3 linked regions of the Nothobranchius furzeri genome follow. The protein of the gene in region 3 purifies or fractionates together with the protein of the main gene of each other region. This does not show direct contact. Links are inferred from orthologs where the notes say so. Each region holds a gene or a part of one and is shown on either strand. Other genes may lie near its edges. The genes, in order: myocd, mrtfab and serum response factor.

Region 1 (10,058 bases), on a different chromosome or scaffold from region 3:
TCAAAAAATGTGGACCGTAATGGCCTCTTGGAAACGACACCTGAAGAACCTCGAGATGGTCTATTCTTGCCTTGGCCCCCGAAATACCTTGAAACGGCCCTGGGTGGGGGGACTGACTTTTGAAGGTGACTTGAACTGTTTAAAACTTAACTGCTTAAAAACGATTGCTTCAGAAATTTAAAAACGTGTAGTGGGATAAATCTACCTACAATGTTTCCTTTTATTTGACTATTTTTCTGTCCTGTCTATCTCTGATCTTCATGCATCTCTTCTCAATCCTACAGAAAAACTGCTGCCTGGCTTCCTATATTTTCACCTCATGAGTTACTTTTGATCTAAGCACATCAAAGAGACCGACCGAGCAGAGCGCGCCTGCCGCACCAGTAAGTTGAGATCACCTGAGCACAAGACAGGTAATGCTCTCCGATCCGCGGCAGCAAAGTCCATCAGGCTCAGATAAATGACAGAAAGCACCAGAGGAAGTGAGCCGGCATAAATGACTGTGAGTTAATTATATTTTTGGGGATGGCGACACTTTGAGAATGTTACTGTGGGCGTGAGCAGGATGCAGCTGTCTGAGTGCAATGGTTAGCGCTCTGCGTCCTCTCCGCTCAAAAGGACCTCCGGAGAGTCCACATAAACAATGGAAAGCTTGGTTTATGCTTGATGCATTCACTTTCCGCTTGGTGATGCGGCTCGCGGATGGAACGCGCTTCACAACTCGCAGCGTTTATGGTTCGTGTGGCTTGTCTCTGCGGTGAACCAATATTCTCCCAAACTGTAGGGGGCAGCATGGAGCTCTACGGCATGCATCCAACACTACACCATAGTAGAAGTAAAAACTACTGTTGTTTACAACTTGGCATTCCAGTATTTTTAACAGCATCCTCGTCTTTTCCGACAGTGCGAGCTATTTCTCTCCAAGAATTATTAACATGTTGATCACGGTGATCTCTGAGAGCTGAATCATACAAATGTCTGTATTTACCAACCTCTGCCATTCTAGTTCTTGCCAGTACGCCATGTTTTTCTGTGTCCGACCGTCCGCGTGGTTAGAAAATTTCCTAGGTGTGCGTTGCGGAAATTTTGGGCCGTGCGGAGGCGCGGTGGAGGGTCGTGGTTGTGAAAATGACACAATTTTGCCACGCGGAGCCGTGTGGACCTCGCGGACGCGTCAAGCATAAACCAAGCTTAATTCACGTAGGCGTGTAAGTTGAGTGCTTCACAATTTTTGGTGAGCTGGGCTCTCCTTTGCTTCCCCGTAATTCAAACCCTGACGCTACGTCATGTGAAACCTGTGATGTAAACGTTGGTCATGGCAATGCTAACCACAGAAAACGTTAGTCTGAGCTACCGCTAATGTCCTAATTGGATGAGCGGAAAACAACACAGGAGAATGTTGGAGCACCCCTCACATTCCTGGATGTACTATGAATGAAAACCAGGCAGAGCCTTTGTTTGTCGTACTTGTCCTCGCTTGTCCACTCTCCAGCAGCCCCCCTCTTCGACATTGGTTGTTCATGCACCTCCCACTACACCCTCACCCCACAGACATTGGCCAGACATACACTCACTTCCTGATTGGCGCCCCCCACCCCAAGCAATAGCTGTAGTGCTAGCAGGAATAAGGAAACAGACTCTAGGATCTTGTGTAGGTAAACTGTCTCCCTATGCTGTGATCCCTTACATGACCACTATGAATTCATTTTAACAACTTGATGTTCTTTTGTCTGTGGTCTAAAAGAAGTCATAATAATGAACGTGGATCAGAAGATGGGACAACAACAACATCTTGGTCCCTAAAGCGCTGCAGTTTGCTGCTGCTGGTAATTTTGACGCTTGTATAGAAATATTTCCACTTCCCAAACACCGTGGTAAAACACCAAAAGTGTCTACTTACTGCCAGTAAAGACTCTGTGTGAAACAGCAAAGCAGCTGCCGTCAGATCTGGTTTTTGGTTAACAAGTGTTGCCTGGTGCCGGCTGTACGGTGAACGTGTGTGAGCCGTGCTCTCAGCTGCTCTCAGCCTCGCGCAGTGTTGACTTTGAAACCGAAGACATTTGTTTCGGCATGGGGTCCTTTGACAACAAAGGACATACAAATCCACGGCCACATTTACAAGTGTTCAGATTTATAGTGTAAATAAATGATGATTTGGCCTGGTCTGTGCAGCTGAAGTGGAGATAATTAACCAGCGATAGTGTAATTTATTGTCTTTCGGTGCCTGGAACAGAAACAAAATGGGTAATACTAACAACACTTAGAAAGTTGAACAGCAACAGCCAGACTAATCAGAGCAGAAGGATCTGTCATTTGAATTCTTCTGAACTTTCTGCAACACAAACAGGAATGTGTTGCTGACAGATGAATGAGCATGGCTGCCCGGCGTCTAATAAACAGGTATTTCTAAGTGAAGCTTTGGGTTTATTTTCGTCTAATGCCTCTGCATGAAGTGGAAATCCACCTTGAAACAGCCCTTGCATGTTTTATTCCAACGGTTCCCAACAGTTGGAGTCAGATTTTCAAACGAGAGCCAGAACCTGACTGCAGGGAGACAACACTCCACCCTGAATGGTTCTGGAGAGCTTCCACTGACAGTGACCTATGGTTAACCGTGTAAGCTGATTCAGATTTCTGCTGAAGGGGGAAAAATAACACAGCTGAGGGGTTTTAAGTGCTGCCAGAGTGCCATTCACTTTCAGTGTTGGAGGACTGCAAATGTTACTGGTTCTCACTGGAAGTCATGATTACAACCGAGACATTAAATAGATGCAGGTATGTACCTTTCAGACAATATTCAGATAGCTTTAGCAGGTAGAAAATCAGCAATAAAGGCTTGGCTCCGTGTGGCCCAGCCGGGCGGAGGGGAAGAGCGTCCAGCGCACCACCAAACACAAGTCAGTCAGAAGCCGAGGGAAAACGTTCAGATGCAAGCCTGTAGCAACAACTGCTGTCGTGCTTTTCCACCAGATAACAACAGGAGGTAGAGCGGGTCGGCCAGTAATCCCAAGGTTGAGGGATTGATCCCGGCCCCCACCGGAGCATGGTAAATGGTTCATTGTCTTGCCCAAGGACACAACGGCAGCATTCTCTGATCAGAGCCGGGATCAAACCTGCAACCTTTTGATTACTGGACGACCCGCTCTACATCCTGAGCTGCTGCTGTCACAGACGGTGGCGCCTGTGTGCAGCGACCTCGCCTCTGTCAGTGCGTCTCCTCAGTGAAACGCTCTTTGGAGTCCTCGACTCTGATAGGCTGTTCAATCACCATTAACCCTCCACTGTCCTGTCAGGTGACCCCTCCAGGCTGGATAAACATGGTTGACAGTTTACCTCTTGGCAAGGGCGATGTGGTGCACTCCTAAAAAATAAATAAATAAAAAAGCACCTGGGGCTCACCTGACCCCTTTAAGGTAAAATCAGACACCTTGGTTGAATCTAAACGGATTAAAGGAAACTTAAAAGCGTCTGTTGAAACGTCATTTGAACGAATGGAAATAAAACTAGGTTTATGACGTTTGCTAACAGCTGATGTTTCTGAGGAACCACTAGAAGTTCGATGGAGAGAACCTTCTCCCGTAAACATCCAGAGACGCGTTACCGCATCTCCATCAGGTTCTTCTCAGAACTTGGAAGTTTCCTTTCTTCTGTCGCTGCTGATGAAGTAAAACACCTTTTGTTTTCTGTCCGGATTTTCACTTTAGCATGTTCCGTGTTCAAATGTTTGCTGTTTATGTTTGCAGCAACAGATGAAGTAGCTGACTTTTGACTGGCGTGACCATTTACACACACACACACACACACACACACACACACACACACACACACACACACACACACACACACACACACACACACACACACACACACACATTCATCTGTGGTTTAGAACATTTGTAAACTATTTTCTGTACAAAAACGTGAAACTAACTTTAATCTGTTTAAAGTCTCTCGTCTGCCGATCTGCGGGTTAGAGGTTGAGACTGGATGTTTAATCTGAAATCATCTGAGATAAAAATAAAAAGCAGGACTGTTGGATATCCCGCGTTAACAACAACGGTTTTACTGAGAAGGCTCGAGTCCCTCCCAACAGCACTCCACAAACCCTCATCTGGACCTTAACTTTTACATCAGATGTTTATCTTTCTTTGCAGCATTTAAGATGTGGTTCACTCGTTTAATCAACACATTAGCAGAGGAATGAATGTCTCAGAAACCAGCAGGATGCTACATCAGAGCAGTGGCGTGTCTAGATCCATTAAAATGGGGTGGCCCAGGTGAGGCACACCTTTGTGCAGGGGTGGCACCAACAGTTACGCTTTCTTGTTTTACCCCCAAGCCTTTTGTAGACAATGAAAAGCCTATTTAAAGGTAAATTAGTGTGGTGGCACCTGGGGTGGCCAATCAGATTCCAAGGGTGGCATGTGCTACCCCAGGCTACTCCCTGGACACGCCCCTGCATCAGAGGAGAGCTGAACACGGCAATTATTTCCTGGTTTTGGGGCATCACTCAACTGATTGGCTGACAGCAACTTGACTCTACCACTGACTGTTTTCTCTACAGTCAGATATTTTGTCTCCACAAATAACACAAGCCTGGAGGAGTTCTGCTATGTGGTGGGGTTGCTAATTCTAACAGTTAGCTTCTACTAGTTCTCTGCTGTTTCCTGGACACTAAACCAACAACAGCCTTCCCCGTCGTGAGTCCAGATGGGTGAGCCCATGAATGTTAAGTTACAGTGTGACGTAGATCTGTCAGGATTTTCTAATCCTAGAGTTTCACCGTCTGTTTTCTATCAGAAGCTAATGCAGGAGACAGGTGTAGGAGACTATTTTCATGTTCAGCCTTCATGAAACACTCAGTGTGACCCAATAACTCAAAAATGGGATGATTATAATCATAAATAATCATTAAACATGGTTTTTTAGTGTTCCACGCCTTTAACAACGCTTCAGCAGTTCCCATGGCTTTGATAAAGCGGTCAGGCAGCACAGAAACAGCGACAATCAGCCGTTTTCACACACAGCTGACTGCTCCCTAAGGCTAGGACCGAGCAGCAGCAGTTCCCATGGCGAGTTGTTCTACTGTGGTGGAAAAGAATCAACAATCTGTAGTTTTCACAGAGCGCTGCATGTCACTGGAGCTGCTGCAGCACACATTCACAGACCCCTCCTGTCATCAGCAGTCAGCACACAGATTTCCAGGCTGATATCCTTCAGATACACTCACAAACCTCCTCCAGCTCTAGTTGGTGCGGATTCCTGTGACGCTAGGCAGACTTGCATATAACAGTATCTCTACATCTGTGCTGCATTACCCTAACACACAGCCCAAAGCCGCCTCTGAGAGAAGCCCGGTGCTCCGCGCAGCGTGGAAGGTCATTTCCCAGCTCTATAACGCACTTGAAGGAAAAGTGACATTTAGCCAGCAATCTCAGGAATGCAGCTAAAGCTCACGGGCTGAGTGGGAGCACGGCGAAGAGCAACTCTGATCTACAGGAGTCCCGTCTTCTTGAGAGGAGCTGCTGGAGTCGTTTCAGCGGTCCGGCTCTCCTCAGGAGGTGGCAGTGTTGGTCAGACTACACATCCAGACGGGTCCTCAGTGAGAAACTCACACGGACCAAACTAACACACCATTAGCATCATCCGGCTTCCTGCACCGTTAGCATTAGCTGAAGGCTGAGTTGCCCCAAAATGTTTTCAACTGGTTTTGTTTGTATTATTTAATTGCTCAAAAAGTTTGTGTATGTGAATAAGTAGAGCCATGGCTCTGTGAATGATGTAACTTGAACACCTTCAGCTTGGAAAAACAGTCCCACTGAGGCCGGGACCAAAGTGGACTAAAAGCTGAAACTTTAAGATTTCTTAAAACAGTTGATCCAAACAAATTTGTCACAAAGCGCTGATTCTGGTACGGATCTGTGACATTCGGGTTGTTGGCTGCGTGTTCGACTCGGCTTGTTCACACCTTTACATTTGAAAGCTGCTTTTACGATGAGCCGTCTGCTGCTTTGTAACCACAGAGTTCAACGTAAACCTGAAGTTCTGGGATGGAACAGACCCACGGTGGTCTGGTCCCACGTGGACCTACTCTGCTTTTACAAACTGTCATATTTGGTTGACCTCTGAACTTTACAACATCCATCTTTATGGGGATCACTACAGAGAGGAAACCTGTCTGACAATTTCACAAACACACACACAAACTCATGTACGCATGCATATGCACGCATACACTCACACACACTGTAAGCTCTGACATGCCTTCAGGGAAAGGTCAAAGGTCAGTGCACTTACCTGATCTAAATTTGCTTCGTATCAGCACAGAATGTTCAGAGCCCAGGAGAGTCATTCTGATCCTAGTAGAGGTCCCGCATCAAAACGGTGAAGAAAACATGTAAGAAGTGACCTCTTCTGGACCGTAGACTCATGTGAGACAAACTGGTCCCTGGCTGCCTCATCAATACACACACACACACACACACACACACACATACACACACACACAGGCTTCCTAGCTGCACAGGCTGTGCACACTCTCAACACCGGCCCTTTATCTGCTGCCTTCCTCGTCTCCCTCTCCCCTCAGCAGCTGATGTGTGAGTGTGCGGCTCTGATGGGGCTTTGGTTCTATCCAGATGAGAGTTCTGAGTGGGGCTGGGGACAACACACACAGATATGCCCACTCACGGAGGGGCCAGCCCAGGCCGGGGTTTCCTCCAAGCCCCGCCTGCTGCAGCCCAGAGGCATTTCAGGGTTTGGCTGATGACTTCTTCCTCCCCTGCCACCAGGATAAATATATCTGCCTATCAGCTCTGGCTGTCATTAGAGAGTAGAGAGGAAGACCAAGATCAGATTCAGAACAGAATTCAGCAACAGATCACATGGCTCTTGGGGGTGTGAATCAAGCTCTCGTGCATCAGTCCAGCAGTGATCCTCTCCCGAATCAGCATCTCTATGACGCGCAGTAGTCCGCTCACATTTTCAGGACATGTTATGATGCATTTGAAGGAAAACCTGTCATATTTAAAGCCACAGCAAAGTGAGCTTTCATGTCGGCCTGTTCTCCAACACTGTTAGGAAACGTCCACTTTCAATGATGCCATCCATGTGGCCGGTATCATGTTTCTCAAGGATCGCTCACATATTCCAGATCTGGGAGGAACATTTAATAAAAACATTTAGTTTACCCAAGAGGTGTCAGGATCTGCTCCTTCTCCCTCTGACTCGTCCTCGCTCTCCTCACTAAAGAGCAAAATAAACTTTTTTAGCTGATAACTAGTATAAATGAGTGTCTAATAGTGTTGTAGACATGTGTAGTCATTATTTTTGCATTTTGATGCGTTTCCTTTGAAAACTCTTAATTCTGTCTAAAAACATCAGTCTAGCGCCATCTTCGGCTCAATTCAATTCGAGTTTATTTATAAAGCACCAAATCACGACAAGTCGTCTCAAGGACCTTCACACAGTAAACACTCCAGTACAGGTCAGTTCATTGAGCCAATCAGAAATAATGTTTCCTATATAAGGAACCCAGCAGGTTGCATCGAGTCACTGACTAGTGTCAGTGACTATACAGCAATCCTCATACTAAACAAGCATAAAGCGACAGTGGAGAGGAAAACTCCCTTTTAACAGGAAGAAACCTCCAGAGAATCCTGGCTCAGTATAAGCAGCCATCCTCCACGACTCACTGTTCTAAAGCCGTTTCGATTCCAGTGGGCTGTAGCGACCATAGTTTAATTGCGGTAACAAGGAAAACAAAGATGCCTAAAAAAGGCCAATTATTTGTGTGCAGACGGATGTTTAAATATTTCAATGAAGATGACTTCATAGAAGATGTGAGGAAAATAAGTTGGACACAGGTTTTAAGTGAAGATGATCCATGCCAAGCAGTAGCAGTTTTCAATGAATTGTTCACAAAGGTGTTAGACAGACATGCTCCTATAAGGAAACGCGCTGTGAGAAGGGTATCTGCTCCATGGTTGGATGAAGAATTAAAAGAATATATGAGGCAGAGGGATAAACTTAAAAATGAAGCAGTAAAAACTAATAGTCCAGATAAATGGAAAGAGTATCGTAGATCACGAAACTTTGTAACTAAATTTAATAATCATAAAAAAACGGTTGTATTATCAAAAAAGACTAACTGATGCAAAATCGGATAGTGCAAGATTATGGGGTACATTGAATGAAATGATGGGTAGGCATAATAGGTCAGCTCCAACTTTTTTGGATGTAGGGGGAACTTATCTCACTAAACCAACAGAAATTGCCAATTATTTAAACCAGTTTTTAACTAATAAAATTAAGTTGTTACGAGATTCTATGGAAAATAGTCAAACCAAAAATATTTCCTATCATCTAATTAAACAAAAAATAATGTTAAATAAAAACTGCCAATTTCAATTTGATAAAGTGACTGAAGACAAGGTTAAGGAGATAATATTAAAAAGTAAAAATAAACCATCTGGCATAGATAATATTGATATAAAATGGTTAAAGTTAGTAGTAGATTTTATTTCATGTCCTATTGTTCATATAATAAATGGAAGTTTTAAAGAAGGTATTTTCCCATCTCAATGGAAAACAGCAAAAATAATACCTTTAATTAAGAACAATAGAGAACCACTGTCTGTTCAAAACAGTCGACCAATAAGTTTGCTACCAGCTTTAAGTAAAATCATGGAAAAAATTGCATATGATCAAATTCAAGATTATTTTGAGTTATATGAAATGAACACAAAATATCAACATGCTTACAAAACGAATCACTCAACCACTACTGCACTTATTCAAATAACTGATTATTGCTTAGAGAATATCGATAATAATAAGCTAATTGGTTCTATATTTCTTGATTTAAGTGCGGCTTTTGATGTTTTAGATCATGATATTTTATTACAAAAACTTAAACACTATGGATTTCATACATCTGCTCTTAACTGGACTAAAAGTTATCTTACTGACAGAGAATATCAATTTTATTTCAATGGCAGTTTTTCTGAAAAGGGTCTGATGGAATGTGGTGTTCCACAGGGAAGTTGTTTGGGACCACTTTTGTTTTCTATTTTTTTGAATGATTTTCCGTGGGTGCTGCAACATGCGACTACAGCAGTATATGCAGATGATATTACTGTTTTAGCTTCAGCACATACGGAGAGTGCATTGAATGAAATATTAAATGAAGAGTTAAGAACAGTCGAGCAGTGGATAACTGCTAACAAATTAGTGATTAATGCAGGAAAAACTAAATGCATGGTAGTTGGCTCCAAACATACTTTACAGACGATGCCAGTTACATTTAACCCTGAGTAACAACGTAATAGAACAACTAGAAGAAGTAAAATTACTAGGAGTTATAGTTGATTGTAAATTATCATGGACAAGCCAGATTAATTATGTTTTACGCAAAATGGGGAGAGGTATGGGCATAATTAAATTTTGTTGCAAATTTATACCACAATATTTACTTAAATGCCTTGTTCAATCATTAGTGCTTTCTTGTGTAGATCAAGCATCTGTTATTTGGTCCAGTACAAGTGAAAATAATTTGCATAAGCTACAAGTTGCACAAAATAAAGCTGCTCGTATTGTTTTAGGCTGCCCTTACAGAACGAATGTGGGAACCATGCATGAAAAACTTGCTTGGCTTGATGTGAAGAGTAGATTAAAGTATTTCGTGGTAACAACTGTGAGGAAAATAATAATTACAAAAACACCAAAAATGATACATAGCAAATTATTGTTTTTTTCAGATAATCATACTTATAATACACGACAGATAAATTAGATGAAATGTATTTTACCACGCAGTAGAACAAATCAAATTCAACAATCTTTTCACTATAAAGCTATGACTGCATGGAATGCATTGCCTAGATTTTTAATTTTCGAAAGTAATAACATTTCTTTTCATAAGAAACAGAAAATTTTTTTGTTTACACACTTAATTGTATAGTGACTATGAACTCTGCAACGAAGGATTGAAAATCTGTGTTTGAGGTCGAGTACTGAATATCGATGAACTATGATACGAAACAATGGACATGATGTCG
Region 2 (9,517 bases), on a different chromosome or scaffold from region 3:
ATGCAAACCAGCGTGGGATGGGCTGATGAGTGGTGGCGGTCCCCTCTAGAGCGCTGCTGTGGCTTGTTGTTTCCTTGTTGTGAGACTTTATAAAAGCTGCATCTCAGAGCAGAGGTCAGAGCTAAAAGCCACACTCAGTTCAGCCTAGCATGACATTTGTCAGCTACAGTTCAAACCCCGACAACTGTTTTACAACGTCAAACAGGTCAAAAGTGTCTTTTTTATTTTTCTCATGCTTCGTTTACATATTTTCCAGAGTAGAAGTTATAATAACTGGAGATGGAACATTTATCATGGGCTGTTCTGTAGAAAGAGAAGGAGAGATTTATGCTAAACTGAACGTTTTTCTGTCTCCACTCAGACCACAAGCTGAGCAGCCTCCCACCACCAGCTCTGGCCCCTCCCCCTCCCGCTGCGCTCACAACACCACGACCACAGCCCCCTCCGGTCAGACCCCGACTTCTCGCCAGAGCCAGATCGCAGTGGGAGGAGCCAAACCGGCCACTCTACCAGCCAATCTGGATGAGTTCAAAGTAACCTGATATAATAAAGGAATCATCTGGTCACCAGTGCTGTCTTCAGTCTAGCCTAAGCGCCCGTTCCTGTCTCTCCTCCTGCAGGTCGCTGAGTTAAAGCAAGAACTGAAACTGCGTGGTTTGACCGTCTCAGGAACAAAGAACGATCTAATCGAGAGGCTCCGCAACTACCAGGAACAAAATCTCAGCAACGCATCGGCTCTGAAAAACAACAGCCCATCTCCGTTAGGTCAGCAGGGCTTTACCTCGGCTGCTAACACCAGCGCTTCATCTCCGAGCTTCGTCCCCGAGCAGCCGCCCGCAGAGGGAGGGCTCAAGCTAGCTCTGTCCTCGTTGGCTCAGGCGGTTCCGGGTCGGGTCATGAGGTTTGGGAGCACCAGCTCCAGCCCTCCGGTGTCACCAACGCCGTCGGAGCGGTCACTGGCTGGGCTGAGTCCAGATGAGACGAGCTGCAATGGAGATATTTTTGGAGAGATGGTGAGACTTGGATCATTTTAGGGTGAATGTTTGTTTCTGTTGGTGTTTAAAAGATCTTCTCTTGTTTTGGTTCAGGTTAGCTCTCCACTCACCCAGCTCACCCTCCACCACTCCCCTCAGCACCCGCCAAACGTTTCTCCTCTCTCCCAGCCTTTCTCTGTTGTCAAGGAGGAGATTCAGAGCTCCTGCAGCATGTCCAGGAGTTCATCTGGACCTGTCCAGCCCAAAGACTCCCTACATGGAGTCTCCATGGACATATCCTTTATGGACAAAGACCAGATGCTCCAGGAGAAGGACAAACAGATTGAGGAGTTAACCCGGATGCTGAGGCAGAAGCAGAGGCTAGTGGAGACTCTGAGGTCACAGCTGGAGCAAGGCAAGATGGCAGGTGGTGTGGTGGTGAAGAAAGAAGGAAATGAGAAGAGCAGAACATCCCCAGAGGTTAAGCTCCAGACTCTAATAAAAGCCTCAGCCATTCAACCCCCCGTGCTCCCTAATGGCACCGTGCTGATGGTGAAGGAGGAAGTGCAGCCTGAGAAAGGGATGGAGGGGGTAACGGAAGAGGCTGAATTGAAGAAGCCGCCCCAACCCATGCAGTGCTCTCAGGAGACTCTGCTGAGGCTGCAGCAGATCCATCGGCTGCAGCTCCAAGCTGAGCAACAGAAACAACAGCACGGCCAGCTGCAGAAAAACACAGAGGTCAAAACAAACCCCCAAAAACAGCAGCAGAAGAAGAGGGAGGCCCAGATCCTGCTCCACCAGCAGCAGCAGCTGCAGCAGCTCATCATCCAGCAGACCCAACAGAAGCAGCTCCAGGCCCAGCAGAAGTTAGCACAGCAAAAGCTTGCACAGCACAAGTTAGTCCAGCAAAATCAGGCCAAACAAGCCCAAGATGTCCAGTCTCAGCAGAAGAACCAGGTCCAGCTAAAGCAGGTGCAGGTGCAGATCCAGAACCAGACGGTGACGAGCCAGAAGCCTGCAGTGAGCCAGACCCAGCTGAGGAAACAGCTGAGGGCTCAGCAGAGGCAGCAGCAGAGGCAGCAGCTGAAACAGGCAGCAGCAGCAGCCACGCAGCAGGTGATGCTGTTTGAAACGGGCTAAGTGCTATAAGCTAAGAGCAGCTAACTGACTACAGCTTTTATTAGGACTTAAACAATGTTTGTCTCTGGGTGGTGAGTGTTTATTCTGCACTGCCTCATCTCTCCTGCTGGAGAGTTGTCCAGATGGGGGGCAGTGTGAGAAGCATGTGGGAGGAGCTAAACACACAGTAATTAAATGTAAATGGCTGATATGGTCATTTAAGTTATTGCTTGATGGATAACACTTCATCATTCCTTCACTTCAGATAGAAAAAACTAAAATATAGTTTTATTTGCCTCCAGGTGACTCCAGCCATCAACCAACAGAACGGCACTCCTCTCCACACTCAAGCCATTTCCTTAGACCTTAAGGCCAATGGCACCCCAACACTGGTCACCGACAGCAACGGCAATCACTACCTGATTGCTCTGACCAGTAACAACTCAGACAGGCCAAACAGAGTCTCCTCACTGGCCAAAATCAATGGACGCATCACATTGCAGGTGCAGAAGATACCATCCTCTGATAGAACACACCAGCTTCCTACTGATGTCAGAGTATTCATCTGTAAAACATCCTTGTCTTCCAGAGATTGCAGTCTACTCCAAGTAAACTCCCCAGCACCGACAGCAAGTCTAAAGAACCACCTGAGGAGGATCCTGTGAGCCAATCAGACGAGAAGGTAAAAGTAAATCCCGCCCTAACCTGACCTGTTAGAAACTCTTCATGTGAGAAGATGACTGCACATTCAAATAATCTGATTTCTGTAAAAAATAACATGCATTAAACCCTCTGGAGGCAGGCGTTGCAGATTTGCAATGTTAAAACCTACCTACCTGGTCACTCCACGTACGTACTTCATGAGCATTTTCTAACTCAGAAGTACCGCTGAAGGACTTAGTAGTTCGTCCTTTTATCAAAACTCATTTTGAGCCTGAGAGGGTTAAGCCGGGCGTACACTGTGTGACTTTTTCACTTTTTTGAGCCGATTCTCCACTCGTGCAAGAATCCACGAGATCGGGGCGAGTTCTGCGCTGAGCGTCGTGTACTAGGGCTTACGAGAGGCGATTAACACACGTGACCAGCTACCGATCAGCAATCGTGAGCTCGCACGGACATGTGTTTGATATTTTGCTCGTTCCTCCTGAGGGTTGAAGCAGCGCAGCGAGCGGCTGAGACCCAAAAAGTTAAAGTTAAAGTCCCATTAGTTGTCACACACACAGATGTGTGTGCAAAATTTGTTCTCCGCATTTGACCCATCCCCTGGGGGAGCGGTGAGCTACAGACACAGCCGTGCTCGGGAACTATTTGGTGGTTTAACCCCCCAATCCAACCCCTTAATGCTGAGTGTCAAGCAGGGAGGCATTGGGTCTCATTTTTTCTAAGTCTTTGGTATGACCCGACCAGGAATCGAACCCCCGATCTCACAGTCTCAGGGCGGACACTCTACCACTAGGTCACTGAGCTGGCCAGAACCGCTCACGGCGCATGCGCAATCCTGCATCAACACCGCTCGCCCGCTATTTCCCTAATAACACACGTTGTTTGTTTTTATTTCTAAACGTCTTTTTTTACACACATTGACAAGGATTGTCAAGAAAGCGTGTTTGTCGTGTTCATGTCAAATTAAACTGATCACAAAACACAGATTTACTTTCTTTATTTCGTTTTCCTCATCCAACCCCCATAAATCCCTGTGTGTCCTCCTGCAGCACTCCCGAAGGACAACAGGCAAAACAAGACTAAACAGTCTGACGTGTTGTGTAAAAACTGCTATTTTTAGCATATTTTTAGGGCCGACGTGTTGCTACCAGACGTACAGTGTGAGCAGTCAGGTCGCATGCGAGAACTGGGTCGTGCAGTGTGAGCACATGACTCGTGAGATCTGCCCTGCGTACAGTTTGAGCTGAAGCTGAGTGCTACGAGTGAAAAAGTCGCACAGTGTCCGCCCGGCTTTAGTCTGATACATTTGTCACGCAGTAAGACCAACACACCACTAGGTGTCGTCATTGCCTACTGAAACCCTCTCAGCCTGTCCAGGTTTCCTGTCTGATTCTGTCCTCCACTTGTCCTCAGGAACAGAAACCCGGTCCGCACCTGGACACCAACGGCGTTCCTCAGCCGAGCCCCCCCCTCACCGCTCCGCCCAACCTACAGCCTTTCTTTGAGGACATGTCAGACACCGAAAGCCAAGTCAGCCTGATGTCCTCCCTGAAGGTTAACACCGTCCTCCTCCTCTTCCTCATCAGACACATCCCACCTCTGCTTCTCCTCTCATCTTATAAACGTCTGTTTCCTTTTTCTCTGCTCATTTATCCATCCCCCCCCCACCCCAGCAGAGAGAGGAAGTGTGTCTGCCTTACGACCGGCACACACTCTTCACCCCTCCTTCTCCTAAACCCAACACCTCCCTTCCTCTTCAGCGCTCCAAAGTACGTCCTCCAGCTTCTCTGTTCGTTCCATTTTTCTTGTATTGATTGTTTATGTCTGCACCTGATTTTCCACCGTCTCTATGAGCTGCTCACGTTACTGAACTTGGAGGACGAGGATTGAGGCGCCTGTCTGACCAGCTTCTCATTTTCAGCCTGTTTGGTTTATTTGTCCGCTTTTCATCTTCCTAATGCATCCTGCGTTTCCCGGAACGACTCTGATCAGTCAGGTGTTAGCTGTCGTGGCAAAAAGGGAACTCTGCTCGATCTGATTGTGTGACATCTTGTGCCATCACTAGAGATCGAGCATTGAGTGACTTTAAAGATGCAACAGAACCATTAGCTGTCGTTTCACCATGTAAGATTAAGTTCATTTGAAACTGACACAAAGGTTAAATGCTGAGCAAAACTAGATTCTGGCTAGCCAAGCTTTGATGAACTGTTATTGAAGTTGATGCTCGAATTAAACACCCGATCTCTCACTTATCGTTAAGGTCAAAGGTCAAGCAATGACTGTGTTTTAGTGCAGCGAATGGCTGTTTCATCTGTAGCTGATGTGTGTGTGTGTTACCAGGAGAACGGTGTGAACAGCCAGCAGATGGATGACCTGTTCGACATCCTGCTGAAGAGTGGAGGTAATAAAATGTTTCAACCCCTGAGACAGACTCATGACATCACCTGTCTGTCTGAAGTAAAAGACCGTCTGTCTCTCCTCAGAAATCCCCGGCTTCAAGGCCAACCCAGACCCTTCCCTTGCTCCGCTCCACTCCAGCCCGCCCTCCCCGTCTACCCTCCCGTCCCCACTCCACCTGTCTTCCCCCACCCCCACAGAGACGCTAGTGTCCCCTCAGCCGTCTACAGGCGAGTCATGCACGGGCAGCGGGCGCTTGGAAGACTTCCTGGAGAGCACCACAGGCACACCGCTGCTGGGCATGGAGCCCGACGGAGACCTGACGCTGATCGACGACCTCCACAGCCAGATGCTGAGCACGCCCAGCATCCTGGACCACCCCCCGTCTCCCATGGACACATCTGACTTGGGGTTCTCCCCTCCTTCTGCAGGTTTGGACTTTGGTGTCCCCTCTTTGGACAGCATGGACTGGCTGGACATCTCTATGGGGACTGAGAGTGGAGGCAGCGAGGACAGCAGGGTCAGGAGAGGAGGAGGTGTAGCAGGTGAGCGAGACGGGGGGACGAATTTAGCCCCGCTGGCACCACACACTCCCCCGAGTGTGTTCTCAGCTGACTTTCTGGACAGCACGGACCTGCAGCTGCACTGGGAGTCGTGTCTGTAGCTGGTGGACAGGCGGTCGCTCACACTGTACAGGCTCTGTATTCACTTCATGCACATACTTCTCTATGCTGTCTCTACCACTGCGGGAGGGGCACCGGCACATTTAAACGCACACTCACACGGTTAGTCACTGGCTGTTTCTGTACGCAGCTGAGGCGAAATATGCAAAAAGACGTGGTTGTAGACTCCACAGAAGAGAAGCTGAAGTGTTGACCTGGGTGAGAAGCAGACTGGTTCCTGCTGGAGGAATCAAACAGACCTGCGCTGTAACTAGGTTTAAGTCATCCGAGTCCTGACTGAAATAGCAGTGTGTGTCCGTGCCTCCTAAACTTTGCACTTATGCTGAAGCTGATTGGTTTGAAGGAGACGTCGAGCTCAGCAGCTGAATCTCCGCGCTGGTCGGTCGGATCGAGAGAAGACCACCGTGCGTTCTGTTAATCAGCTGACCGCTTTTCAACGTGGCAACCTGACCCCACACACACTCAAACAATCGTCACTGGTTGCCAGTTGAATTGAACCATATCAGCAGCAACGGTTTGAAATGCAGCCTCGTTGGAGGTTTTGTATTATTGGTAACATTATGGTAGACCACTATGTATTGCTGTATATGGGGTGTATATTATCAAATGTCCATAAGACTATTTTTCTTTGCTGGTTGCTTTAGAGTCGAGCTCGCCGGCTGGGGAGCAAGGGGCGGGGCTTCTAAAACACTTTGTCCTTGTCATTTTTAAAAAATAAACAAATCATAAAAACACATCGGATGCAGTTGTTTTGGTCATTTCTGCATGCTAGCAGTCCATCAGCAAAGACAGAAACGCATAAATAATCCTAATCTGAAATATGACCACTAGTTAGAAGACTGCTTTAGTTAACTGTAAACGAGGTAAGGTGGGGTGAAAATAGGAAACGACACTAGAGGGCGCTATTGTTTACAAACACCTTTAATCAAACTGGCTTTCAGGCTCGTGTTGACGCAAAAACCAAATGTAAATAATTTTTCAGCCGGTAAGCATTGTTGTGCTTTATCCTGACAATATGACCCTTCAAATAGATATGCGCTCAAATAGTGTAAAAATGAACTCAATCGCTTTATTGATCATTCGAGCTACTTTTACAGGCACAGTCCTGATCCAAAGTTTAAGGCAACTGTAAAATTCATGTTTTGCCTGATTGGGTCTTAAGAAGGCCACAGGTTGAGCTTCAACATGCAACAAGAAGAAACGGGAGTGAGACAAATCCTTCTGTGAGCAGCAATTTATTGAAAACGAAGCTTAAACTGAAGCAGGCTGTTAAAAGGCCATATTGTGTATAAATTAGGATTTGTTGGGGTTTTCTATCAGGCGATCACATCGTCATGACGTTCTGATGGAAAAGGAAAGCAAATGTTTCCATTTTGAAGGTGGTTGAACTGCAGTAGCAGGCTCTCTCACTGCTGAGGTGAGACGGTTGTCTTAAATGACCCTGAGGGTATGGAACAGAAACGTTTCATCAGCACTGAGCTGGAGGTCCGGGGTCTGATGAGAGGAAGTTTAACCTTGATGGTCCCGATGCTTTCCAGCATTACTGGCATGACAAGCAGATCCCAGAGAGGTTTTCTATGTGTAGAGGGGGTCATCATGGACAAGGTGCTTTTTCCTTCTGCGGAACAGTGGAGCTGCAGGAGGTGCAGAGACATCAATGGCTGCTGGCTGTGTCCAGATGTTTGACTGAGGGCCTGTTCTGTGTGGTAACCACTGGGTTTTCTACAGGACTGTGCTACAGTACACAACACCCACAGGACAAGGGACTACTTCTAGGAAAACATCACTCTTTTGGGCCATCCTTCATGTCTCTGATCTAAAACTGATGGAGGACCTTTGAGGATTTATGACAAGGGAGGTTGACAAACATGAAGAGTTCCAGACAGTGGACGTCTTCACCGCTTGGAGAAATGTTCCCTCTCACCTCATGAGCAAGCATGTGATCACCGATGGAGCTACTCATTACTGAGCTCATGTGTTGTTTGGAACCTTCATTTCTGTTTTATCTAAAGCTAATTAAAATAATTAGTTTTTACACCTGTGATAAAATATCTAAAATATAATTTTAAATTATTCACGTTTTATTTTGGCGATTTGGTCTCTTGAGTTGCATTTCGTCATTCTTGTCGTATTTTTTAGGTCTGATCAGTGTCTTTCACACAATCAGACCCAAAATTGGTGTGAGCAGCAATGAAGCCCTAATTATTACTAATAAATCGTGAAGCATCTTGTTTTTGAAAGTTTCAATTTCAATAATCTGCTACAATCTCTCTTCTCACCACATGTTCTCAGCCTTACGTCTGCAACATCCCTTAAACCTGTCTGGGATTTAGAGTTGATGCTTTATCTTCTCTCTTCTTTCCCCAGCCTCCCCATTTCCCATCCTCTGAAATTCCCCAACAAGCCCTCTGCAGCGCTGAATCCCAGACTCCAGCACCTCCAACCAGCTTTCACAGTCACTTCTCACACAGACACGTGGGGCAGAGCAGCTCCCCTCCACAGTTGACATCTCTCTCCCATTTACAAAGCAGATATAAGTCCAGAGGCCATGCAACTAATTAACTAGTCCGCTCCAAAAGGCAGCAGCACCACAAGGACTAAAGATCTGTTCTGTATTCCAGGAGCCTGAGGCCAGCACTCAGGGATGAAGTTTAACCAGTGCAGCTCAGAAAAAGTTTTTAAAATAAAAATAGAAACGTGGAAAGAATTCATCAAAAAAGTGACTGAATAATTTTTCTTCTGATTTTCTAGATGTATTATGACAAAATTGTTAAACATAATGTTTGGAGAGCCTTTGGTCCATGGGTCTCCTACTGCCCAAGAGATGAATAGAAGATGGGAAATTGCTGCCCTCCGGTGGCTATTTGCTGTAACTGCACCTTTTTCATTTTAGCCATTTAGAATTGAACATTGTAGCCTCCTTGTCCTAACGAAGCTTAAAAAATCTTAATATTTTTAGTAAACATTTTGGGAATTATAAAATTATGAAGGAGAAGGAGGAGGATTTGAAGGAGATGAACCTGTTTTAGTAAAGGTAAAAGACTTCCTTAGCAGAAAGACTATCTAATTTCTTCCAAAGACTGTTTTTTTCCTTTAAAAATTTCATCTCAATGCTGGCAATAAACAGAACAGCATTATATTTCCAATAGCAGTTAATAAAAGGAAGATGGGGAGCTGCTGTCCTTCAATGGCTGTATCCTGAAAAAGCACTTTGTTCGTTATTGCCATTTAGAAGAAAATATTTTAACCTCCTTATTTTAATGAAGCTTTAAAAAAAATTCCAATCTTTATTTTAAACATTTTGGGAACATTAATATTGTGGAGGAAAAAGTGGAGGATTTGAAGGAGAAGATGGATCTTGATTATTAAAGTTCAAATCCTTTCTTGGAAGAGACACTACATCTAAATTCTTCCAAACACAAGTTTGTTTTCTTAAAAGAATGGGAAATTTGCGCCCTCTGCTGGCAACAAACAGCAGTAAGAAATAATGAGAAGATGGGAAATTGCTGCCCTCCGGTGGCTATTTGCTGTAACTGCACCTTTTTCATTTTAGCCATTTAGAATTGAACATTGTAGCCTCCTTGTCCTAACGAAGATTAAAAATTTTTAATCTTTTTAGTAAACATTTTGGGAATTATAATATTATGAAGGAGAAGGAGGAGGATTTGAAGGAGATGAACC
Region 3 (10,396 bases):
CTGTAGTAGCTCATGATAATAATAATAATCAAGTCATCAAAGAGGTGTTGTATATTACAATGGCTGTTGGCAGGAAGGATCTCCAGTAGCGGTCAGTGTTGCAGCGAAACTGAAGAAGCCTCTGACTGAAGACACTCTTCCGTTGTTGGACAGTCTTGTGAAGAGAATGCTCAGGGTGGTCCATCATTTTCTTATTTATTTATTGGTTTTAGAGAGACGGGGTCTATTTAATAGGGATGTGAATCTCAGAGCAACTCACGATTTGATTCGATTCCGATTCTCGGGGTGCCGATTCGATTCAGAATCGATTCTCGATTTAAATCGATTCACAATCAGTATTAACAAAGAGTGTCAGTTGTAGGATTAACTACTTTGTTGTGCAAGTTAGTTAAAGCTTTGGGAAATTTTATTTTACTTTAAACTGGTCATGCTAAAAATAAAAAATATGCTAATTTACAAGGTAAATTAAAGTGATTCTAAAACTGTAAACAGAAGCAATCTTTTGACGAAAAGGCTACATTTATTTTTGCTTACCTTATAAAATATAACAAATCGTTAGTTACCTAACAGTAGCTTTGAAAGTAATACAGTCAAATACTTTTTAAGTATCTGTGGAAACAAGTTTAACATTTGAGTCCCAGACCTGTTTAAAAAAGTGCCTCAGATTTCTTACAAAGGAAAATGTGTTCTCTCATTTATCAATAACTTCAAATAAACACGAGTAATCCTGAGTACTCGCTTATCAACTTAGAAAATAAATATGAGAATATCAAATTTCTGAGCATGGAAAAAAATTTACATTCTAGTCCGCACTTATCAGCAGATTCAAAAATGACACATCCCAGTTTATGGGACCACAAAAGTAAACGGAGTACCGACTCTCCTAACAAAGACCAAAACAACAGACAAAAGTGCGTCTCAAACCTGTAACATGCCAAACATTTGAGTTCCTGGAATCGATTCCGAACCTTTATAAATAAGAGTCCCGATTCAGACTTGAATCGACTTTTTTTTCAGCACCTCTACTATCTAATGTTTTTGGTGCAATATTTTGTAACAAACTGAAAGTCCTTATGCATTTATTTATTTAGAAGTTCTGCTTCTGGACATTCCTGTATTAGATAACAGTGTAATAGTTGCATTTTAAAGCATTATTATGACATATTAACATTACATAAGTGGCTACTTCGGTCTCGATAATATCGTCAATAATTTGTTGGACAATATATCGTCCGGCAAAAGTTATCGTCCCAGGTCTAAGGATATCGGATATTAATTTAAACATAAATACGTTCTTGAACATCCCTTGACCTGGTCATGTGTTTAGCAATCACACCACCACCAAGCAGTGATGCATAATGGGTCACAGAGGCAGAGTTGTTAAGCGCCCGCCTCGTAATCAGGAGGACTCTAGTGGCTGTTGTACAAATACAAAAACAAGCTGCAATAGCAATTACAGGTCTTCCATGTAGAAGTCTGAACTTCATTCTGTTCTTTGAGACACATCAGCATCTGCAGAAACTGTTATCTGTTCTTAACCGTTGTGGGTGCATCTCTAGTTTGAAGTGGATCTGAATGTGTCAAAAGCGGCATTGGCAGGTCTGAGCTGTACGAAACCAGCATCAGTGAGCCTCAGCAGATAAACTCCAGGCTTGACTCAGGGTATCTGCAGGTTTAAGGGAGCCAAATTTAAGACTTTTTAAGACCTTTTTTAAGGCCACTTTGACCAAATTTAAGCAAATTTTTTAAATTTAATTTAAGCTATAATTTCCAGCTACTGCCTGGAACCGGTGCTAACCACGTCGCCAACGTGGGATTAACCATCCAGTTACCATTAAACTTGCACTTCCCCATGGCGCAAACTCCCACTATCTTAAACAGCTAATGTGCTCATCTAAAAATAGCCCCCTTTCACAACCAACTGAATGTGTACGGTTCCGCTTACGCCAATATCGTACACAAAAAATGCTGAACACCAACTAGAAATTTATGAAAATTTTGTAGAAATAAAAGGATCTTGTTTATTGGGTCTTTGGACATTTAAGACCTCTGGAAACTGTATTTAAGGATTATTAGTCATTTTTAAGGATTTTTAAGGCCTTAAATTTGGAAAAGCAAATTTAAGACTTTAAGACTTTTTAAGGACCCGCGGATACCCTGTTGACTATTAGATACTAGAAGTTAAAAGAAACAGAGCTCGCCTCCTAATAACATCATTAGTCATTTCTTCTGCTGATCCTGCTGTGAAAAGAGCTTGAAAGGTGCTAAAAACAGCTCTGCAAGTGAAGTCACAGCTGAAGGAAAAACGAAAAGAGCCCTCCTCTGGGCATGCAATGAAACATGTACACACACGGACAAAAAACCACGTTTTAGATGTCAAACTAGACTTTACGTGTAGATGCCAGACACCTATGGTGTAAGAACATACAGGCCTCCTTTACTTATTACATGCTTCAAAACAGACTGGTCTCAAACTGGGATGAACCCAAACTACTATGAATCTTCCCACTCCACCCACCTGTTGATTTCTGTAAAGGCTGGCATGGAGTGTGGGCAACATTTTCACCATTTCCACCCCAACATTGTGTCAAATGGTGCTGATGCTGCCAAGAGCCTACACAAAGACACCCCAGTTTCCACGACAACAGTCTGGGAAACGCACGAAAAAAGAAACACAGCAGAGTGCAGAGAGCGCGTTCTGCAAAAACATACAATAAAGCACAACTTTACATTAGAGTCATCGTTTAAAGTCCACTGCACGGCTCTGTTTGTGATTCACAGCTAATTTTATAATAACTGTGCATGACTTGTTGCCACATTTAAGTCATTCTTTATTTGAATGACTGTGTTTTCATATTTAATAGTACTTAACAGAATGTAACTACTGGATACGAAAAAAGTACTTCTTCAGTTTTTGCTCTTTGTCACATTTAACAGTTTCAGACGAGAAAAACAACAGATGACCCGAGTCAATACAAACTTGTGTTTTCAAATGATTTTTTTTTTTTTTTTTTGAAAGGGGAAGGAAATCTGTCCAAACCAGCCTGATCCTGCATGGAAAAGTAAAAGCCTCCTTGTTAAATCATGAATAAACTTTGGACCCGTTATGAAGCGAGTTCAGTCCCAGCAGGCACACCCAGCTGCTTTCCAGGACGGTATATACTCAGCTGGTCAAGGGTCACAATTCTACAGGAAAGAAATGATGGGAAAACAGCATCACGGGACAATTCCAAGGCCTAAACCTCCACTGACCAAAAGTCCCATCTCACATTAAAAAAGCATCATGATGATCCAAGACTTCAGGGAAAATGTTCTGTGGAACTTTGTGGAAGGTGTGTGTCCAGTTCCACCTGGTGTCACACTAAAACATTGTCATAGCAACAGTCAGACATGGTGGTGGTAGTGTGATGGTCTGGGGATGCCCCACGACCTGGACCACTCACTGCAACTGGTGGAACCATGAATTCTGCTCTCTAGCAGAACATCCTGGAGAAGCACGTCTGACCTTAAACAGACCTTTCACGGTGGAAAACTCAACCTGGCAAGCCATCCTATTTATGACATGCAGAGCAAAATCATTTTGCTTCAGCAAACGACGACCTGGACTTCTAGGCTTTGACAACCCTCCAATTTGACTGAATTAAAACTATTCTGTAAAGACGAGAGGATAAGACTTGATTTCATTTGTTGTACTTTTCCCACATTGATCATGACTGCTTGTGAAAACTGCATTTTGTATTGACTCGGGTTATCTTAGTCTGATACTGAACTTTGTTTTCCAGAAGCATGTTACAAAAAACACAAAAACAAAAAGTGTCTTCACATGGGGCCTGAGTAGCAGGGTGCTTGATCATCATCATCATCATCATCATCATCTCCAGAGTCACCTGTTGGGTTGTCACTCAAACAAAGCTGAAACCAAGACAGTGATGAGGCTGGATGAGCTGGTGCCATCACGCATGGACGGAGTGTGTAAGTGTGTGTAAGTGCTCTCCGGCCATCCCTGATCTCTCCCTGGGGTTTAGTCAGCTGATGGCACACTGCAGTTCAATGCCACATGGCTGCAAAGGAGGGAACAGCCTGCGCTGGAGACCTTCCAGCAGGAACCTGGACCCGACCGGAGGAGTGAGTGAGTGCATGCATGAATGAATGAGTGTGTCCGGTCCTCTGTGTGTGTGTGTGTGTGTGTCGGGGTGGTCATTAATAGAACTGTCATTTGCTCAAGTCTATTTCCAGCTCATTGCCCGTCATGAAAGCTCAGACTTCCTCACATCCACCGACCGTTGGGTCTCAGAAGGAATTCTTTTGTTGCATAAAAACAAAACACAGTGCGTGGATCAGAACCGACTTCCCGTTCACCATTTATTACAGCTCACGCGCTGCAGCAGGTGTCACCTGACTCACCTTCTTCATAATGCCCGTCTTCCTCTTGCTGAAAGTCGTGTACCGTCTCAACTTATTATCAATAAACTCCATCTTGATCTTTACCCGCCCACGTGTCTTCTTCCCCGGCTTTGCCCCGGCGACTCCGGCCACCATGCCGTATCCTCCGGGAGCCACCCCCATCTCGTGGCCAGCCGCAGCCGCCTCCATCTCCCCCCTCTCCCGCTTCACCCCTCTCCTGCCGTCCCCGAGTGACCCCACTGGGTCGTCGTCATCCCCGGAGTCGGAGTCATTATCCGAGCCGCTGCACAGGTGAGCTCCGTGGCTCTCCCGGTCCGGGTTGAATCGTGCTCCGTGAGGCAACACGACACCCGTGTTTAACGCAATCATGTTTCCTCCCTGGACTGCTGTCTGCAGAGGGTTCGCCCCGGTTTCGTTTCCCGGTCTTGCGCCTCTCGAACCTCCCGGACCGTTTGCCCCCAGCATCCCGACTGCAGCGTTCCCCTGCCGCCCCGCAGTTCCGCCGCTCTCACTCACCCCAGCTAAAGGTTGCCCTGCTCGGACTAAGACGGGGCGAATGCCACCGACAGCCTCCGAACCGTGTCCCGTGGTACCCCTGCCTAATGCTGACCCGTTTCCAGATGGTGCCGACCCAAGCTGGCTGGGTAACATTCTATTTGGTGGCCCGAGAAGACTACCGCCAGCCCGGAAAGCTGGAGCGTGGTGTACCGCGAAGAACCGACACACGCTTGGGCCCAATAAATGTAAACAAGCCAGGCCGGAGGTCGGTTCGGAGAGTCCGGGAAATGACAGATACAAACTTTCGAGAGTGATGCTGCCCCCAGGACCCGTCAACGCAGCTCGGTTTGGTTCACCCTCCTCCTCTATCTCCAAAACTCCCAGCACTTTCTCAAAAAGGAAAGCGCGAACAGCGTCCCAAATATGCCTACGCCGCGCCAAATAGTCCACATTGTGAGACCAATGAAACAATAATATCAATCGATACCCAACTACACATCACACGTGACACCATTTTGTTTAAATGCTTCACGCTTCGTCGTTCTGAATCACCGCCAAGTGTTTCATTTTAAAAGTTTATCTGACGGCGGAGGGATATCCTAACCGGGGAACTACTTTCCTCCTTATAAAGAGATACAACGTTTCCTTATTTGGTGCTGTCTCTCCTTATTTGGCGAGTCACAGCTTCGCTCGCTGATTGGCTGAGGATTATCTGACTAGCGCTGTGATTGGTCGACAGGACACGCTCATTACAATAAATACCAAAATGGTTGCGCTAATGTCGACGTCACCGTGGGCATGCAGAGACACCATCACAACAATAACACACAACTTTATCCCTACAGGTTGCACAAAGTCATAGCGCAAGCTGGGTTTGCGCCAGAGTTTCTCCTTCATAAAAACTGCTAAACTCCTCTTTCAGGTGCACTTTTGAGAATCTGCACCAGCGGTATGTGCACAAGTTCAAAGCCACTCCTCTACTTGTTATGCTTAGATTCCAGGTAGCCTGGCTTTCTTTAGAATCATTTGAAGTGTTAACATGTTTTCATAATTTTACTTTAGAGTTTAAAATAATCTGACCACCATCTCCCTCATGAATATACCGTCATGCCACAAAACCTCTAAACTCCTCAGTCTGTAGTGATTTAAACATTGTGCCGTTAACTTATTTAATCTCAAACGGCAAAAATTAAATGTTTTCTTTTGCCAATATAATGTCTCTTAATAAACCTGTACGAAAATTGTAAATAAAATGTTTGTCACACAAAACTGCATTTCTTTAGCAGACCAAGCTACATTTAAAATGTATTAAGAGGGAAAATCCTAATTAATTTGTTTTTATCAGTGTTGTAAACATGGCTGTGAACTCCGCCCACCTCCTGCAACAGACAGGTTGCAACAAACCCCAGGTATAACGTTTTGATTTGACTTCAACCAAACATCAAGAGGAAAGATGCCAGAACCTCTCGCTAAGGGGTTTTATTACCACCAGAGATCAGTGGAAAAAAATAACTAAAAACAGAATTGTGTTATGATGTAAAACAGAATCATGACATGATATATTGATCGTTAATCCAACCATAATATGTTCTCAAGTGAAGCCTCGTTAACAGGTGTGAAGTTGGCTGTGAACAAAATGTTTAATTTTAATACTCCACAATGGAGAAATGTCACAAATCCCCCAACAAGTTCAAATCAGAAAGTAAATGTTAAGTTGGAGCAATACAAGGTTTTTATCTTTGATTAGATTAGATTGAGGTTGTATACCACCCCCTAGAGGCGAACCCGGGGAAGTGCACGTTCTTTTGCTAAACCAGAACCAGCGGCTCTTTGGACCTTCCGCAGTGTCTTCATACATCTGGGTAAGCAGATTTAAAAAAAATTTATGGAATAATTTTGTTGAATTTTCCATAAAATGAAACAAAAATTTCCGGTAATATCGTTTAATTTTTTACACCCCATGGGAAACCATATCCTCTTTTTTAAAACCTAATGAAAATGAACATCTCATAGTAGATATTTATGAAAGAACATTATTTTTCACTTTTTAATCTGAGAAAAAATCTAAACAGACTTAATTTTTTTCGAAAAATTCAAGAAAAATTGTCCATAACCATCTTAGGGCATAAAGAAGTTTCTTTCTTTTTTTTAAGGTCCTTTAACAGTTGGGGTTCTAAACACTTTTATTGTGGTGGACCCCAGTCCACAACAGCTCTTTGGATTGTAAAAGTTGCAGACTCGTGCATTAGGACCTACAGGCCAACCATTACGCTTTCTTTTCAATAATATTCTCAACAAATGTTTGCATATTTTAGACATTTTTATGATGGTTAACTTGCAGAAATGACATGCAAACCAGAGTCTTCATGTGTTAAACAGGTGCAACAGGAAGCTGCATCTCTACACTGCTGCCGAGTGGAAACAAGATCATTTTTTCCATATTTAGGTAGACAAAACAATCATGTGGTTAAAAAAAAACGTGTTGCAACTGAGAAACATTTATATACTGTGAAGAAAATGTTTTTGTAGAAATGTGAGTTTTAATTTCTTATCTTTTACAGACAGCACTACGAAGGGTCTCAGTTTGGAGAAACAGATTAGTTAGGCTCAAACAACGAGGTCAGTCAAGTGCCTTCAAAACTGTAGCCTTTTCCATGAAACTCCACTTCAAAGTTCAGAAGCACTGCTTTAAGGGAGACATACTCACCTGTCGCATAATTTTTTGCCTCCATGCAAGTTTACGCATCCTTCATAAAGACTCAAAACATGAAAAAAACCTCCCTCCTATTGTGACATCACAAATGGGGAATAAAACTAGCTCTCATGTGTAAAAGAGCTGCTGCTGGAGGAGTAGTGGCTCTCCTCTCAAGCCTGGTTCTCATCGGGGGGCGTGGAATGAAAGCGGAACATCGCAGTTACAAAAATAAGTCATTTTAGTCGGGGTCGATCCAAACTGGCCGAGGTGATCAAAAAGGAGGATGGAAAAGATGGGAGTGCCGTTTCATGTGGACTTTTCCCCAGAAAAACGGTCCCGCTGCTGATGCCCCCCAGTGCGAGTCCCTCTCGGATGTCGGAGCTTCTCAGGTTAAATTCTTAAAGTGACAGAGCCCTGAAACGACTCATTCTGGAAGGTACTGAAAATGTCAAGAACAAAACAGCCGAAATCACTACGTGAAAGGGATCTAACATGTTTTATATCGACGGTACAACCTTTGTACCTTCAGAGAGTCTCGTCTCCTTTAAAGGGAGCGTGACTTTTTCATTTGAATCTCTTCGCCAAATCTAAATGCTGACACACGAAACTCAGACGATCTCGTGATGAGTAAAAACACTGTGAATGTTTATTGACAGCAGCATGTATACTTTTGAATATATCCATGATTACTGTGAACATTTGCTGAAGAAAGATGAAAGAAAACAAAGTCTAGGTGTGAGCGCCTAGCATTCATATAAAAAACACAAACATCATACACCAAAACAATAAAAACATAAAACCCAGCTCATAAACAAAGGCCATCGATTAGATAACGTGAAAAAGGGAGATTGTTAATAATAATCCTTCATTTACTAGGCACTTATCTGGTGACCGCGAGTCACTCTTTTATATTTAGTGTTAGTTTATTCAGTTATGTACCAGACTGAACACCAACCTAACAACTTCACCAAAGTACCAATTATAAACAATGCATGACAAACGTAAACAGGACCTTCATCATAAACAAACAGGCACCTGCATGTCCTTCTAAACAAACAAAAGAGGGATATTCTTTTAAGTGAAGTTAGTGCATGGCTTCTACATTATTTACACGTTTATCTGGCGCGATGGTCCGTCTTGTAACAAAATAAAACGTAACGGGACCTCCGTGGACGTTCCAGGCTAAATATGATTGGCTCGGTTCCTGCAACTAACATGATGATGTTTACGTAACGGGGTTTCTCACCCATCTGTGGTGTCAGATAAGCACCTCAAATATAATAAAAACAAGACATTTATGAAAAAAGGCCATTTGCTTGGCTATAAAATGTGTTTGTTTGTTCCTGTAGTGTAACCATAACGTGGATTTGTTTGTTTTTGTGTCACGAACAGGACGACAGCTCTTCTCGTGGAGAGGCGGCTAAAGATCCCCGCAGAAGTTAGGATGGAGGAGTAAAAACGAAGCAGATCAAAGCAAATCAGGTCCTACTTCACACATTCTTTGATAATTATAGGATATGATAAGTTTTGTCTGTTAATGGGCTTTGCAGATGATGATGATGATGATGATGTGTGTGTGTGTGTGTGTGTGTGTGTGTGAAGAGGTGCAGGCACTGCGGGTGAAACTAAAGCCTCTCTGAGACAGAGATGCTGCAAACAGTGGAATCACAACGAAGCTGATCCATGCTGCGGAGCCACGCGAGTGTTTCCACTCCCAGAACTGAAATGCATATAAAAACGTTTCCTCTTCAACGCTCTTCCCTGAAATGTAGTAATCCAGCATTTAGGTCTTTACGTCTGGGGGGGTGCAGGGTCTGTAAACGCTCCCCTCTGATCTCAGACTTTGCTGTCAGAGGGCAGCTCTCCCAGAGCGTGGACGATGTCAGAAAAAGATGGCCGCTCTTTGAGGCTGGGCGCCCAGCAGCGCAGCATCAGCTTATGGAGTTTAGAAGGACATCCATCAGGAACAGGGAGCTTCAGCTTCCCCATCTTTAGACCTGCAAATGAAGGGGATCGTTCCCCACATTAGTGGGACACCACTGACGAATGAATCACACACACGCACACACACACACACACGCGCACACACACAAAACCTGCCAATGCCAGACCACGCTCACCTTCCAGCACCTCGTCGTCGCTGAGCTTGCCGTACGGCATGTCTCCGTGACTGAACACCTCCCACATCAACACTCCGAAGGCCCACACGTCAGACTTGGTGGAGAAGTCGTCCTCGAACACGGACTCCATCGGGAGCCAGCGCAGAGGGATCCACGCCTGTCTGTAGTGGTAGTACTCACTAACACAGAAACGGGTCATTGAAGCGTGTTTATGTCATTTTAACTAAATGTTCAGGATTTATCGTGATTCTTTAAAATCTGAAACCTGTTGTAGACGTCCTTGCTGAGGCCGAGGGACGACACTTTGACCCTCCTCTGACTGCTGATCAGACAGTTTCTGGCAGCGAGGTCTTTGTGGACGAATCGGTGATTGGACAGATGCTCCATGCCACGAGCCACCTGGGCACAGATGGACACCTGGAGGGAGAGAAAACAGCTGACACCTTCTGGGATCAGGATGATGCAAGAGCATCAACGATACGACTCCTTGATTTTTTTTTCCCATCACGTTTGTGACTCTGCACCTGAGGGGGCGGGGCCAAATGTAATCTGTTACTGTGGGACTCACATGCACCCCACTCGGGACTTACTTTGGTCTTGGTGCTGATTGGCTGAGACTTGACTTTGTCGTCTTTATTTTTGGAAATTCTCAGGAACTGCTTCAGATCTCCCTGTTTAA

The links.
Region 1: the proteins of serum response factor (region 3) and myocd purify together in Homo sapiens (affinity purification with western blotting; 3 studies listed by BioGRID and IntAct, with this or other methods). This does not show direct contact. The link is inferred for Nothobranchius furzeri from reciprocal best matches to the Homo sapiens genes SRF and MYOCD.
Region 2: the proteins of serum response factor (region 3) and mrtfab purify together in Homo sapiens (affinity purification with western blotting; 4 studies listed by BioGRID and IntAct, with this or other methods). This does not show direct contact. The link is inferred for Nothobranchius furzeri from reciprocal best matches to the Homo sapiens genes SRF and MRTFA.

Annotation. Positions count from the first base shown.
Region 1 is NC_091756.1:4,141,325-4,151,382, forward strand, and holds the start of myocd (myocardin), read right to left. Parts: upstream 6,500-10,058; 5' UTR 6,353-6,499; coding exon 6,298-6,352; intron 1-6,297. UniProt on the Homo sapiens protein: Smooth muscle cells (SM) and cardiac muscle cells-specific transcriptional factor which uses the canonical single or multiple CArG boxes DNA sequence. Acts as a cofactor of serum response factor (SRF) with the potential to modulate SRF-target genes.
Region 2 is NC_091756.1:27,814,129-27,823,645, forward strand, and holds the end of mrtfab (myocardin related transcription factor Ab), read left to right. Parts: intron 1-361; coding exon 362-533; intron 534-620; coding exon 621-1,013; intron 1,014-1,088; coding exon 1,089-2,090; intron 2,091-2,395; coding exon 2,396-2,596; intron 2,597-2,682; coding exon 2,683-2,775; intron 2,776-4,169; coding exon 4,170-4,310; intron 4,311-4,429; coding exon 4,430-4,525; intron 4,526-5,096; coding exon 5,097-5,157; intron 5,158-5,239; coding exon 5,240-5,817; 3' UTR 5,818-6,572; downstream 6,573-9,517. UniProt on the Homo sapiens protein: Transcription coactivator that associates with the serum response factor (SRF) transcription factor to control expression of genes regulating the cytoskeleton during development, morphogenesis and cell migration.
Region 3 is NC_091752.1:3,797,340-3,807,735, reverse strand, and holds the start of serum response factor, read right to left. Parts: upstream 5,401-10,396; 5' UTR 5,056-5,400; coding exon 4,405-5,055; intron 1-4,404. Other genes in the region: ptk7b (inactive tyrosine-protein kinase 7), read right to left, coding at 9,434-9,594, 9,718-9,896, 9,983-10,134, 10,308-10,388. UniProt on the Homo sapiens protein: SRF is a transcription factor that binds to the serum response element (SRE), a short sequence of dyad symmetry located 300 bp to the 5' of the site of transcription initiation of some genes (such as FOS).